Cricetulus griseus: one gene and its partners. The protein of the gene in region 3 interacts with the protein of the main gene of each other region in a pairwise test. Links are inferred from orthologs where the notes say so. Each region holds a gene or a part of one and is shown on either strand. Other genes may lie near its edges. The genes, in order: Tceanc, Ribc2 and Rad54b.

The links.
Region 1: the proteins of Rad54b (region 3) and Tceanc interact in a two-hybrid assay, tested with the Homo sapiens proteins (2 studies listed by BioGRID). The two-hybrid records come from large-scale screens. The link is inferred for Cricetulus griseus from reciprocal best matches to the Homo sapiens genes RAD54B and TCEANC.
Region 2: the proteins of Rad54b (region 3) and Ribc2 interact in a two-hybrid assay, tested with the Homo sapiens proteins (2 studies listed by BioGRID and IntAct). The two-hybrid records come from large-scale screens. The link is inferred for Cricetulus griseus from reciprocal best matches to the Homo sapiens genes RAD54B and RIBC2.

The regions. Positions count from the first base shown.
Region 1 is NC_048604.1:101,286,397-101,289,732, reverse strand, and holds part of Tceanc (transcription elongation factor A N-terminal and central domain-containing protein), read left to right. Parts: intron 1-197; 5' UTR 198-333; intron 334-440; 5' UTR 441-544; intron 545-2,292; 5' UTR 2,293-2,300; coding exon 2,301-3,336.
Region 2 is NC_048595.1:381,969,532-381,973,186, reverse strand, and holds part of Ribc2 (RIB43A-like with coiled-coils protein 2), read right to left. Parts: coding exon 3,599-3,655; intron 1,126-3,598; coding exon 1,007-1,125; intron 1-1,006. UniProt on the Homo sapiens protein: Microtubule inner protein (MIP) part of the dynein-decorated doublet microtubules (DMTs) in cilia axoneme, which is required for motile cilia beating.
Region 3 is NC_048595.1:125,733,853-125,737,507, reverse strand, and holds part of Rad54b (DNA repair and recombination protein RAD54B), read right to left. Parts: intron 3,601-3,655; coding exon 3,310-3,600; intron 1,048-3,309; coding exon 875-1,047; intron 467-874; coding exon 205-466; intron 1-204. UniProt on the Homo sapiens protein: Involved in DNA repair and mitotic recombination. May play an active role in recombination processes in concert with other members of the RAD52 epistasis group.

The DNA of each region.
Region 1 (3,336 bases), on a different chromosome or scaffold from region 3:
TGCCATCTCCGTGTTCTCTTCCCCCTCTGACAGATTCCCTTCCTTGCCCCAGATAACACCCCTTTTGCTTTCATGTCACATGTATTCCATTACCCTCTCTTCACCCTCTCTCTTTTCATTATATCCCCTCTCTAGTTTTATGATAGAAGATTTTTAAATGATTTTCTTAAAGAATTGAGGTGGACTTTGTCTTCCAGGACTTAGATACAGTGAGTGGGTAAAAGGAAGTTGCTGCATAGTGACAAGAAGCTCACAAATTGAAAGGAGAGAAAGCATCCTGGAAACTTTGCCACTTGTTTAACAGAAGAACATATCTCGGGAGCTGTTTGGTAGGTGTGTTCAAGGGAAATGTGGGAAATGTAGACAAAAATGTTTTTAAATATGGTAAACATGAAAACACTGTAGTTATTTGATGTTTTTCACTGATTTTCTGTTGTTAGATGAAATTCATATCCCAGGCTTATTGTGAAGACTGAGGTAACCTGAGCGTGAATAGCACCATAGACTTACTCAGTAAATGTCCATTGCCTTCCACTGTTCAGAGGTAAGTATTAGAGACTATCAGGAATCATATACAACACAACATTTACTATATTACAATGCAAAGGATGCTAATTTGAATTGTACACAGCAGTGTTTTTAATAGTTTCTTATGTAATGGGACTTACTTAACATAATGTGAAGTTAGAGAGGTCAGTGTATTCAGTGAAGGAGCAGGACTGCAGCTCTGTTTGAAACTAATGATAACCTGTTGGTGGGGTAGGTTGGAAAGGTGAATTCCTGTGTGTGGTTTAAATCCGAATTGGCTGGAGAACTGGACAAATGCTCAAGTCCTACCCTCCGAGACTCCAGTTCATTCTATCTGGGGTGAGGCCCTGGGGTTGTTTGCTTTAGATTTTATTTGATTTCCTTGGATGATTCTAATATACAGTCAGGGTTAAGAAGCATCCATGGTGATAGCATGAGGCCAGGTTTAGGGAACTGCTGTAGCAAAGGCACAACTGCGTAATGGAACCATGCCTGTCTGTGGTTTAGAGTAGTCAAGGCAGAGGCCAGGCTGAGGTGCTATTCATCCCATGGACAGAGCCTAGTCTCTATCCTGTGAGTAGAAGGGAATGTCTGAAGGACTTTAAGCAGAAGAAAACACACACACACACACACACACACACACACACACACACACACACACACACACACACACACACACGAGAGTTAATGAAGCAAACTCTGCAAGGAAAACAATCTATAACTCCAGTCTGATATTTTCTTGTGGCCCCCACAGGTATCAGTCATATATGTGATGCAAAGACATACATGCAGATAGGCAAAACACCCATACATGTAGAATTCCACACAAAGAATTTTCTTCAAACTTAAAAAAGACCCTGCAATAGGGGATTTTTAAAAATACATTTATATGGCATATAAGTTTGCATAAAGGAAATACTGGTATCCTTTTTTCACAACTTTTGTGTAAATCTAAAAGTATTTCCAAATAAAGAATAAGTGGGTCATCTGGATTTGACCCTGTTTTTCCAGCACCTCAGTGTCAGCACATTGTACTCTGTTGACTTTCAGGGTTCAGCAGCCCTGCTTCCCAACCTGTAATATCTGTTTCTTTACATTGGTTCAGATATCAGTATCCCCATTTTTGTTGTTTCCTTTTTATATTCAGAAAAGTATCACTGCAAAGATTATAAAGGCATTAAGTATCTCGGTCTCATAACTGAATATGAGGAAAAAATAGCCCAGTATTTGCTTAGCATTGTCTTATGGATGCTTACATGAGCATGATTTTATTCCCAACATGATCATCAAATTCCACCCAAGATGAACTGATTTTTTTTAGACAAGGTCTCATGTATTCCAGGCTAGCCTCAAATTTTCTATGTACCTAAAGATTGTGTTAAACTCATGTTCTTTTTGTCTCTATCCCCAGGTGCTAGAATTGCAGGCATACATTACCATGCTAGGTTCCTGAATAATTTTAATCTAGAAAGGCACTTATTTGTACAGTTGGAGGTGGAAAAGTTGATAATCCTAGCTGATAATCCTAGCAAGGCTTTGAATGTTCTGCTGAAACTTTGCAGAGCCATTTTTTTCCTTCAGCTATTGAAAATAAAAGTATTGAAAGTTGACTATTTCACATTGTTGTATTATCTAATCTGCCACACCACCACACACTTTTATATCACATTACTCCTTCAGAAAATATCAAATGTACTGGCAGGAGCTGCAATTAATAAAGGCAAACTTTAAAAGATTGAACCGTCTTTTTTTTTTTCTTTGCAGCTGTGAAGATGGCTGAAAGAAAACATATCATTGCCAGGGCTTCCCTGATTGAGCAGCTGGTGTCTAAAAGGTATTTTGAGGATATTGCCAAAGAGCTTACTGAGCTTGAAATGATTTATGTGTCTAAGGAGCATCTCCAGGAGACAGATATAGTCAGAGCTGTATACAGAGTCCTCAAAAACTGTCCCTCGGTGACTTTGAAAAGGAAGGCCAAGTGTCTACTGGCAAAGTGGAGAGCTTTCTATAAGAGTACACATTACAAAACAAAGGAAAGCCTTAAATCACTCCATTATAATGTTAATAAAGAAGGTACAGCTAGTTCTCAGGATGTGAGCCAGGAGGAGGAGTTCGTTTCGAGCCAGGATGAAATATCAGGTCTTTGCAAGTCTCTCTCTAGGCTTGTACCCCAGGATGCTGCAAAGTCTGCTGCTGCTGCTGCTGCTGCTGCTGCTGCTGCTGCTGCTGCTGCTGCTGCTGTTCCTGCTGTTCCTGCTGCTGCAGCAGCAATTGGGTCTGAAAGTAGCATCACTGAAATGGAAATTAACGAAGAATATTTGGGGGGTGGTGACTCTGAATCCACTAGCAAGAGCTCAGGTGTGTTACAAGAATCCCTAGTGTCTGTTAGATCTAAAGGCATAGAGCTTCTTTACTCGGCATTAGCTAGTTCTTCTACAGATTACACAAAAACTCATTTGTGGCAGAACCTTGCAAGAGAAATTGAAGAGCACATTTTTACCCTTCATTCAAGCAACATCAAAAAATACAAAATTTGTATTCGAAGCAAAGTTGCCAATTTGAACAACCCCAAGAATTCTCATTTACAACAAAAGTTGCTCTCTGGAACCATGTCTGCAAGAGAATTTGCTGAAATGACTGTCCTGGACATGGCAAATGAGGAACTGAAGCAGTTGAGAGCTTCCTACACAGAATCCAGTATTCAGGAACATCACCTTCCCCAAACAGTTGAAGGCACACAGACAAATAAAATAAAGTGCAGGCGCTGTGAGAAATATAACTGCAAGATCACTGTAATTGCAAGAGGAA
Region 2 (3,655 bases), about 260 Mb from region 3:
CTGTGACCTCTGTCACCCCAGGTGTCCATAGAAACCATGCCAGATAAAACCAGAGGGTCATGCTGAGCCAGCCCTGCCCTTTGCTGGCCCTGGGAAAGCTGGCCTTGCCTCTCACTGGAACCTACAGCAAGAGAGCTGGTCCCACCCCTCACCACAGGTGAGGGTGAACTGACCCTGAGGGCATGCATGTAGGGGAGCTGACTCTAACAGAGGCAGGTGGCCCCAGTGGCCCAGACTGACCAGCTCAGCTACCACCCAGGGTCTCAGCCAGGCCTTGGGTTGGCTCACCCTAACATCTATCCCATCTAGGACCTCTGAAGCTCATGAAGGGACTGGTCCTGTGGATCAATACCCAAAGTATCTCCATGACTCGGGGCAGCCACAGGATATCCCAGAGGAGTTCCAGTGAGGATCCAGTGAGGATGGTGTACTGGAAACCAGAAGCCTTGAACCAGACCAGTGACTCATTGCAATGAACATGTGCCAGTCAAGCTGATGGGACAAAGGGTATACTGTATGACACACTGAGGCCCCCAGTGTTACCAGGACAAATGAAGAGGAGTTGGAGAGGTGGGAAAGGAGAAACAAAGAGATTTTGTTGTTGTTGTTTTGTTTTGTCTTGGTTTGGTTTTTGTTGTTGTTCTTATTTTTGTTTGTTTGCTTGCTTGCTTTGTTTTGTTCTCTTTTGGAAGGTTGCTGCAAGGCTGAGGGGAGGATATGGGGGGACTGGGAGGTGAGCAGAATCGGAGTGCATGATTAATTCCCAAAGAATTAATAAAGAAGTTTTTTTGTTTGTTTTTTTTTTAAGTTTCACCCTTCCCAGTCCCTGCAACTTATATGAAGTTTACAGCCTAGTTGAGGGGCAGGCCAAATTAGATCTCACCTACCTCTGTTAGAGCTGGTGGTGTGAGCAGTCTCAACTTGGGACCCTTCAAAACTTAGGGAGCCCCGAGGAAGCTGCTATGTGCATGCTCTTTCCTTCAGACTGAGCTCAGGGTGCATATACCTGGTTCTTGTTGAACTCTTTCGTGGCCGCACAGAGTTCCTTTCTGGTGAAGTTTTCCAGCTTCTGCAGCTCTCTGGCTTTTTCATCAAACTTTAGTCTTGTCTGTGTGTAGAGGTCTTCTGCCAGGGGACAAGATACCATCAGCCTGAGTATGCCCACCAGAAGTACCATCTGTGGCATGGTGATTCACACTCATTTCTTACCATGGAAGAGAAGGGAGAGTGGGTTGGAGCGGGGAGAGCTACTGCCTCACAGGTTCTGGGAGAGCAGGATGATTTAGGTGTAGCTCATAGATCTTTGTGAGCAAGGGGTATACTTGTAATCTCTACAGACTGATGATGTCTGCTGTGAATTGGTGATGTCTGCAGCAGTCCTAGGGTAGATTAGTTAGACCTTGCTGACACTGGTCTATCAGATGGTTTCAGCCTTACAAAGGCAAGAAGCAGTAGGAACCAGGAAAAAAGGGCTGTAGAAAGAAACCAGACAAGACCCGTAGCAAAGAGTGCCAGGTCACAGACACTTGTGGAGCAGCAGCAGAAATTTGCCAGGCCAGTGAGGGGGACAAGGCAGGGTGAAATTGGAGGGTACCAGGAGTGAAGTAGAAAAGTTCAAAGTCAGAACAGGCTTCCAGACATGGCCTAGCACCATTATCAGCAGGCTATTGTTTAACCGCAGTGTCCCACACCCTCACCGAGGTACAGTGCTGAGATGCAATGGACATATGAAAAGTCAATGTTCAGCAGCATCTGCTTTCTCTACTTGTGCTCAGAGTGGCTCCCCATTAACTCCAGACACAAAGCGCACACTCCGGTGCTGGCGATGCATAGCCTCACACACAATAGGCAAGTGCTCTACTACTGCACTGCAAGGCAGTCCCAAAGGCCCAGACGCTTTAGCGTTGGCTTTCTGGTCTCTGTACACCTTCATCATCAGCTTACTCTTCTTCTGTTAATCTGTCATGTACCAGATAGTGATCAAGAGCCTAGACTGGGTCCCACATTTCTCAGGGCACACACAACACAAAGGTGAGAAAAGGGGGTTCAAAGCACACAACCCCCCCACCCCCCCACCCCGCTCAAATAGATATACAAAGTATGCTAGTCCATTGAGGAAAGGGAGGATGAGATGAAAAAGGAAATGCTGGGAATTCTGGATAGGGAAGTTGGAGGGTAGGGACCAAGAAACTGCTTTTCTAGGAGGACATGTTTATCCAGAGCTGAAAGACTAAATGGTCAGGGCAGGTGCAAAGGCCCTGAGGTGGGAGAGACATGAGGGAATCCAAAGTGAAAGAGCCAATGTGTTTGAAATGCCCTGAATGAGGTGGAGATATCAGCTGATGTTCTCCAGGTGGGCAGAGGCCTAACATGTACAGTCTATGCGCTGTCTCTAAACTCATTCCACATCCCACGAAGACATTAGATATCTTTGAGCTAGGATGAGGGCATGGGTGTGGCATGGTTCAACGTGACATTATTTGAGAAGTGTCATTCTGCCTGACATGTTAGGAATGGACTAGAGGTGGGAGTGAACAGTTAGAAAGCCACTAGCAGAGGTCCATTCAGGGAGAAAATCTGATGTCTTGTCTCAACAGTGGTGGCCAAAGGATGACGAGAAGTGGACAGTTCAAAGAATATGCAGGAGGTAGAAGGGGCACAGTTGAGGATAGTTGAAGATGGGGTCAGGATTGCCTCTCAGATCTCTGGTTGGACAGGCAGGGGAGGCTGAAAGAGGAGCAGATCCAACAGAGAAACCAGGGAAAAGAACTGGCCTGGAAGGCAAATCCAGGGGGCTGAAGCTGAGAACTGACATCGGAGAGGGGAGCATGAAGACCGTGGGCCAGGCCGGTCACAGCAACTTTAGTGGACAAGGAGGACAGAGGAGGGAGCTGAGAAGGAAACCATCAGAGGAACCCGAGCTGAGCAAGGGGACTGAATTAACACAGAGACTGGAGCAGCTGGGGAGGGCAGAGCAATTGCTCCCACTTAGCTCTGGTTTGCTCTTCCCAGCAGCTCTTCCCGGTTCAGTCACTAGTGACCTGCTCAGAAGACCAGAAGCTGCTGCAAGTGCCTGCCAAGGAGGGGCTGATGGCCTCTATGGAGGCAGAACATACTGCTTTTTGTTGTTGTTCCCCATAGAGAGGCCCTTTCATGTCTGAATCCTGAGGCTCTCTGAATCCAGTGAGTCCTGATGAGAACCTGCTAGCACTGGGCCTGTGACTGGGCTCCCAAAGGAGACTTGGATAACCACACACATTTTTATTCATCTTCTAAATAGGCTGTGTCAGCTTCTGCCTCCAGGTTCCTGCTCTTCACGGGTTCTGGGTTCTACCCTCAGTGATGGACTGTGACCTGGAAGCTAAATAAACCCTTTCTTCTCCAAGTTGCTTTTGGTCGTGGTGTTTCATTCCAGCAATAGAAAGCAAACCAGGGCAATAGGAGTGCTCAGAAAGCATTTCCTGTACTGTGAAGGCACACCGGGAGATGCTGACTCCTGGGGCTGAGGTGTTGACTTTTGTAATGTTGACAGAGCTTTTAAAAGCACCCATAAAAACTGAGCTAGGGGTTGAGATAAACTTGTCTTCTCTTTCATTACCTGCAAGCTTGTGGTCAGCCCGCGCTCTCTCCCACTCTCTGTACTGTTGCAGGTACC
Region 3 (3,655 bases):
TTCATTTCTTATGTTGGAAGAACAAACTTCCATTTCCTCACATATAGAAAACATGGGCTACTTACATCCACATGTGGAGATGCTGTGATGATTAAAGTGTGTCTGATACAAAACAAGAGCCCAATACCCAACGACTAATTACACATCATCATATTTGATCTCCTAGGCATACATAATATGGACTTAATGCATAAATATTCCTACCTGGATGTCAGTAGCTGGATTCCAGTCAATATCATAGAGAATTAGGTGAGATCCTCCAATAAGATTAAGTCCCACACCACCAGCTTTTGAACTTAATAAAAAAATAAAATCAGTCGAGTATTTGCTATTGAAATTATCCACTATTTGCTGCCTTTGAGAGACTGGTGTCTGGCCATCAAGTCTGGCACAAGCATATCCATGGCGCTTGCATATGCCTTCTAAAATATTCAAGGTTTGTCTATAGTTGGAGACCAAAACCACTCTGTCAACCAAAAACAAAAGTTTGTTACATAACATTCTAAGACAGTATTTTGTTCTTTTGTTTTTTAGTTAAAGGAAAATAGCAACACTGATATAACAGAAGGAACAGCAACAGCAAGTAGAGTTGGGAGCAGTAGTTGTTAGTCAACTCAGGTTCTCTGGAAGAGCACTATGTACTCTTAACCAGGGAGCCAACTCCCTAGTCCAAATACCTTAAAACCTTGCCAAGGCTCCTCAGAAGGAAGGAGTTTAGAGTATCGGTACCCAGAACCCCAGGTCCCACCTCCATGTGACTAGGGTACTTGCAGAAATGTATTCTTTAGAGAAAGTAAACCAAGTATACTGACACTAGGGAAAGTAGAGGCAGGGTACGGTAACAAGAACATGGGGGGCTGGGTACAGGGCTTACTTTTCGGTGGGACGAAGTTCGTGAATTGCTGCCAGGAGCTTTACCAACACTTGTAGTTTCCCAGACTCATTCTCAGAGAACTGGAGAGGGTCGTAACCAGTAGGGTACAGAGTCAGCAAGCCTTTGCATAGATTCATTTCTTCATTTTCATCACTTGAGCTAAATTCTTTACTCTGTTCAAATGTGAGTAAATACTGGTTCATGTTTACTGTTTTAATGGGAAGAAAAATGCCCAGATAACTGTGAAGTAAACCTTTCCAGGTCACAGTTACCACTTCTGAAGCATACCATGCCTCCTCAGAGTTTCTGGGCCTTTCCAACCCTGACATCTCCTATCAATACTTTACTCTGGTTCACTGTCCCCCTCCCTCCCTATTATTTTTCTCTTTATTTGTAGGTGGCTCACAGCATCTCCCAAATTACAAACTAAAACAAGCCAAGTTTCCTGAGTCATAAATCATATCAGTTTCTTCATAAGTAATGATGTCATCTGTAAGCTAACAGAGCAATTTATCTTACGACACATTTGGGGTGGGGGATATGCTCTCATTGAACCCAGGGCCCTATTTATGAAGAGACTCAGGTTACTTTATTCTAAAATGATCACAAAGCTGTCTCTGCTTCCAGAGCGCTGAGATTAAAGGTATGTGCCACCATGCCGGCACAATTTGGTTTGTTTGTTTTTGTTTGGTTTTCTTTTTCTTTTTTCACAGTATTTCATACGTGGCTTTATTTAACTGAGTACTGTATATATTTTTAACTCCTCTTACGATCATGCATGTTATATTCTTTTGTAGCAAACAAACCTTTCTGGGCACATATTCAATTGTAATTTGGCTATTGACACATGCACACAAAATATACTTAGGTCAAGTCACTTGATAGAATATGTCAAGTTAGATCTACATAAGATACCTATAATCTGAAGAAGTCTTGACCCAGGGTTTAGTTGAAATAATTTAATATGCTTACACTGTAAAGAATTGATGATTTGGGGTAGACACACACATTTATATACAACACATACACAAATACACACACAAAAAAATGCAAAAACATTCTAAATTAAGTGACATATTCTGAGCCATCATAATTTCTTCCTTTTAAGGAAAAATTTTTGGCTTCTATTCTTCCTGGGCTTCATGTCCAAAAGGTTTAATTTTTACCACTTGTATGTAGAATCTGTTTTTTTTAAGTTGCTTAATAAATTATTATAATCCAGCCTTCTGCAGAGTTACATAAAGCTCACTTCTATGATAAACTAAGTAAATAAGATCCATTGTAGAATGAACTTGGAGAATTCTATTAGAACACTCCATTTTTTAAATATACAATTAATGATCTCATACATAAACTAGCACCCACAGTTTTTGTTAGGAAGGTTATTTGGGAACATATTTTGATTTTACTGCTTAAAGAACTGAATAAAAGTTTTCCATGATGAGCTGGAAATACCATTAATGATCATTGTGCAACTTTTTTAACCAGGCATTCTGTTAGGTTCTTCCCATAATTTCTTGTAAAATTGTCATAATGGAATAACTGTCATGAAACAATTACTTGCTCCAAATTCCAGATAAGAAAACCAATGCTCACAGATACAACTTAAGTACCAAATTTAACAAAAGTTAAAAAAAATTAGGGGCAGAGAGTGGTGGTACATGCCTATAATGCTAGCTGTTGGGAAATATAGGCAATTAGAATCAGAATCCAGGGTCATGCTCAGCTACATATGAAATTCAAGGCCAACTTGAGCTGCACGAGATGCTCTCAGAGCAAAAGAACTACAGGTACAATTTTAAGGAACATATACCAGTCCTAATCTCAAGAATTCTTACCATGTTGCAGACTGCCTTATAGTCATTAAATATGCAAACAGTTGGCTCAACTAGTCATCATTCAAAATCACACTTATAAAAGGAATCTAATTTGAGAAATGTTCTAGAATAAGATTATACACAAAGATCTCTCAGTCTCCTCCAAGACAAGTTTCTCTGTGTAGCCGTGGCCATCCCAGGATGTGCAACGGAAATAGAGATAGAAGCTGAGCACAGTAGCAGATGCTTCTTGTCCAACTATTCTGAAGCAGGAGAGAAGCTAGAGCCTGAGAATATAATACCACTTTTTATATTGGACAAAACAGTAAGATGCCCTTAACAAAAAAGGGGGGTGGGGAGGGTCAGATGATTGTAATCATACTTATTACAAATAGTTTGTGAAGAATAAATAAAATAAAACCAGAAAAGCACTTCATTCTTGGTGTACAGAAAATACTTAATAATTATTAGACATTCTATAACAGAACCACCCAGGAGGAGCCACTGAGCATTTGAAAGCCTCACAAATGCCACTCCAGGGCTGAGCATAATCTACCTTCTGGGACTCCAAAGCCACATAGCCCTCATCTCAGGCCTGGCAGTTTCCACGGGACTCACCTTCACAGAACTGAACAAAAGGCAAGGGTGATTGCACAGTTTCTTTAGGGCCCCTATGCAGATGAGATGAGTGCTATTTTCCAACAGGCCTTGAAGACAAAACCTGACAGACTGAGAACTCAGCAGCTTCCGGTAAAGTTCAGTCTGCAGTGCTACTGGTTGGCAAAAGACGACGTTCTCTATCTTTGGGGGAAGGTATTTATTGATGACTTCCTGAGTTCTTCTGAGGATGAAACGTCCAGTGAGGCAGCTGAGTTCAACTGCTCTTCTCTCTCCTAACTCTTTTTCTTCCTGTGGGAAAAAGAGCAGACTTAAAAAGTGGTATGCACAAAAACACCTGTCGCTT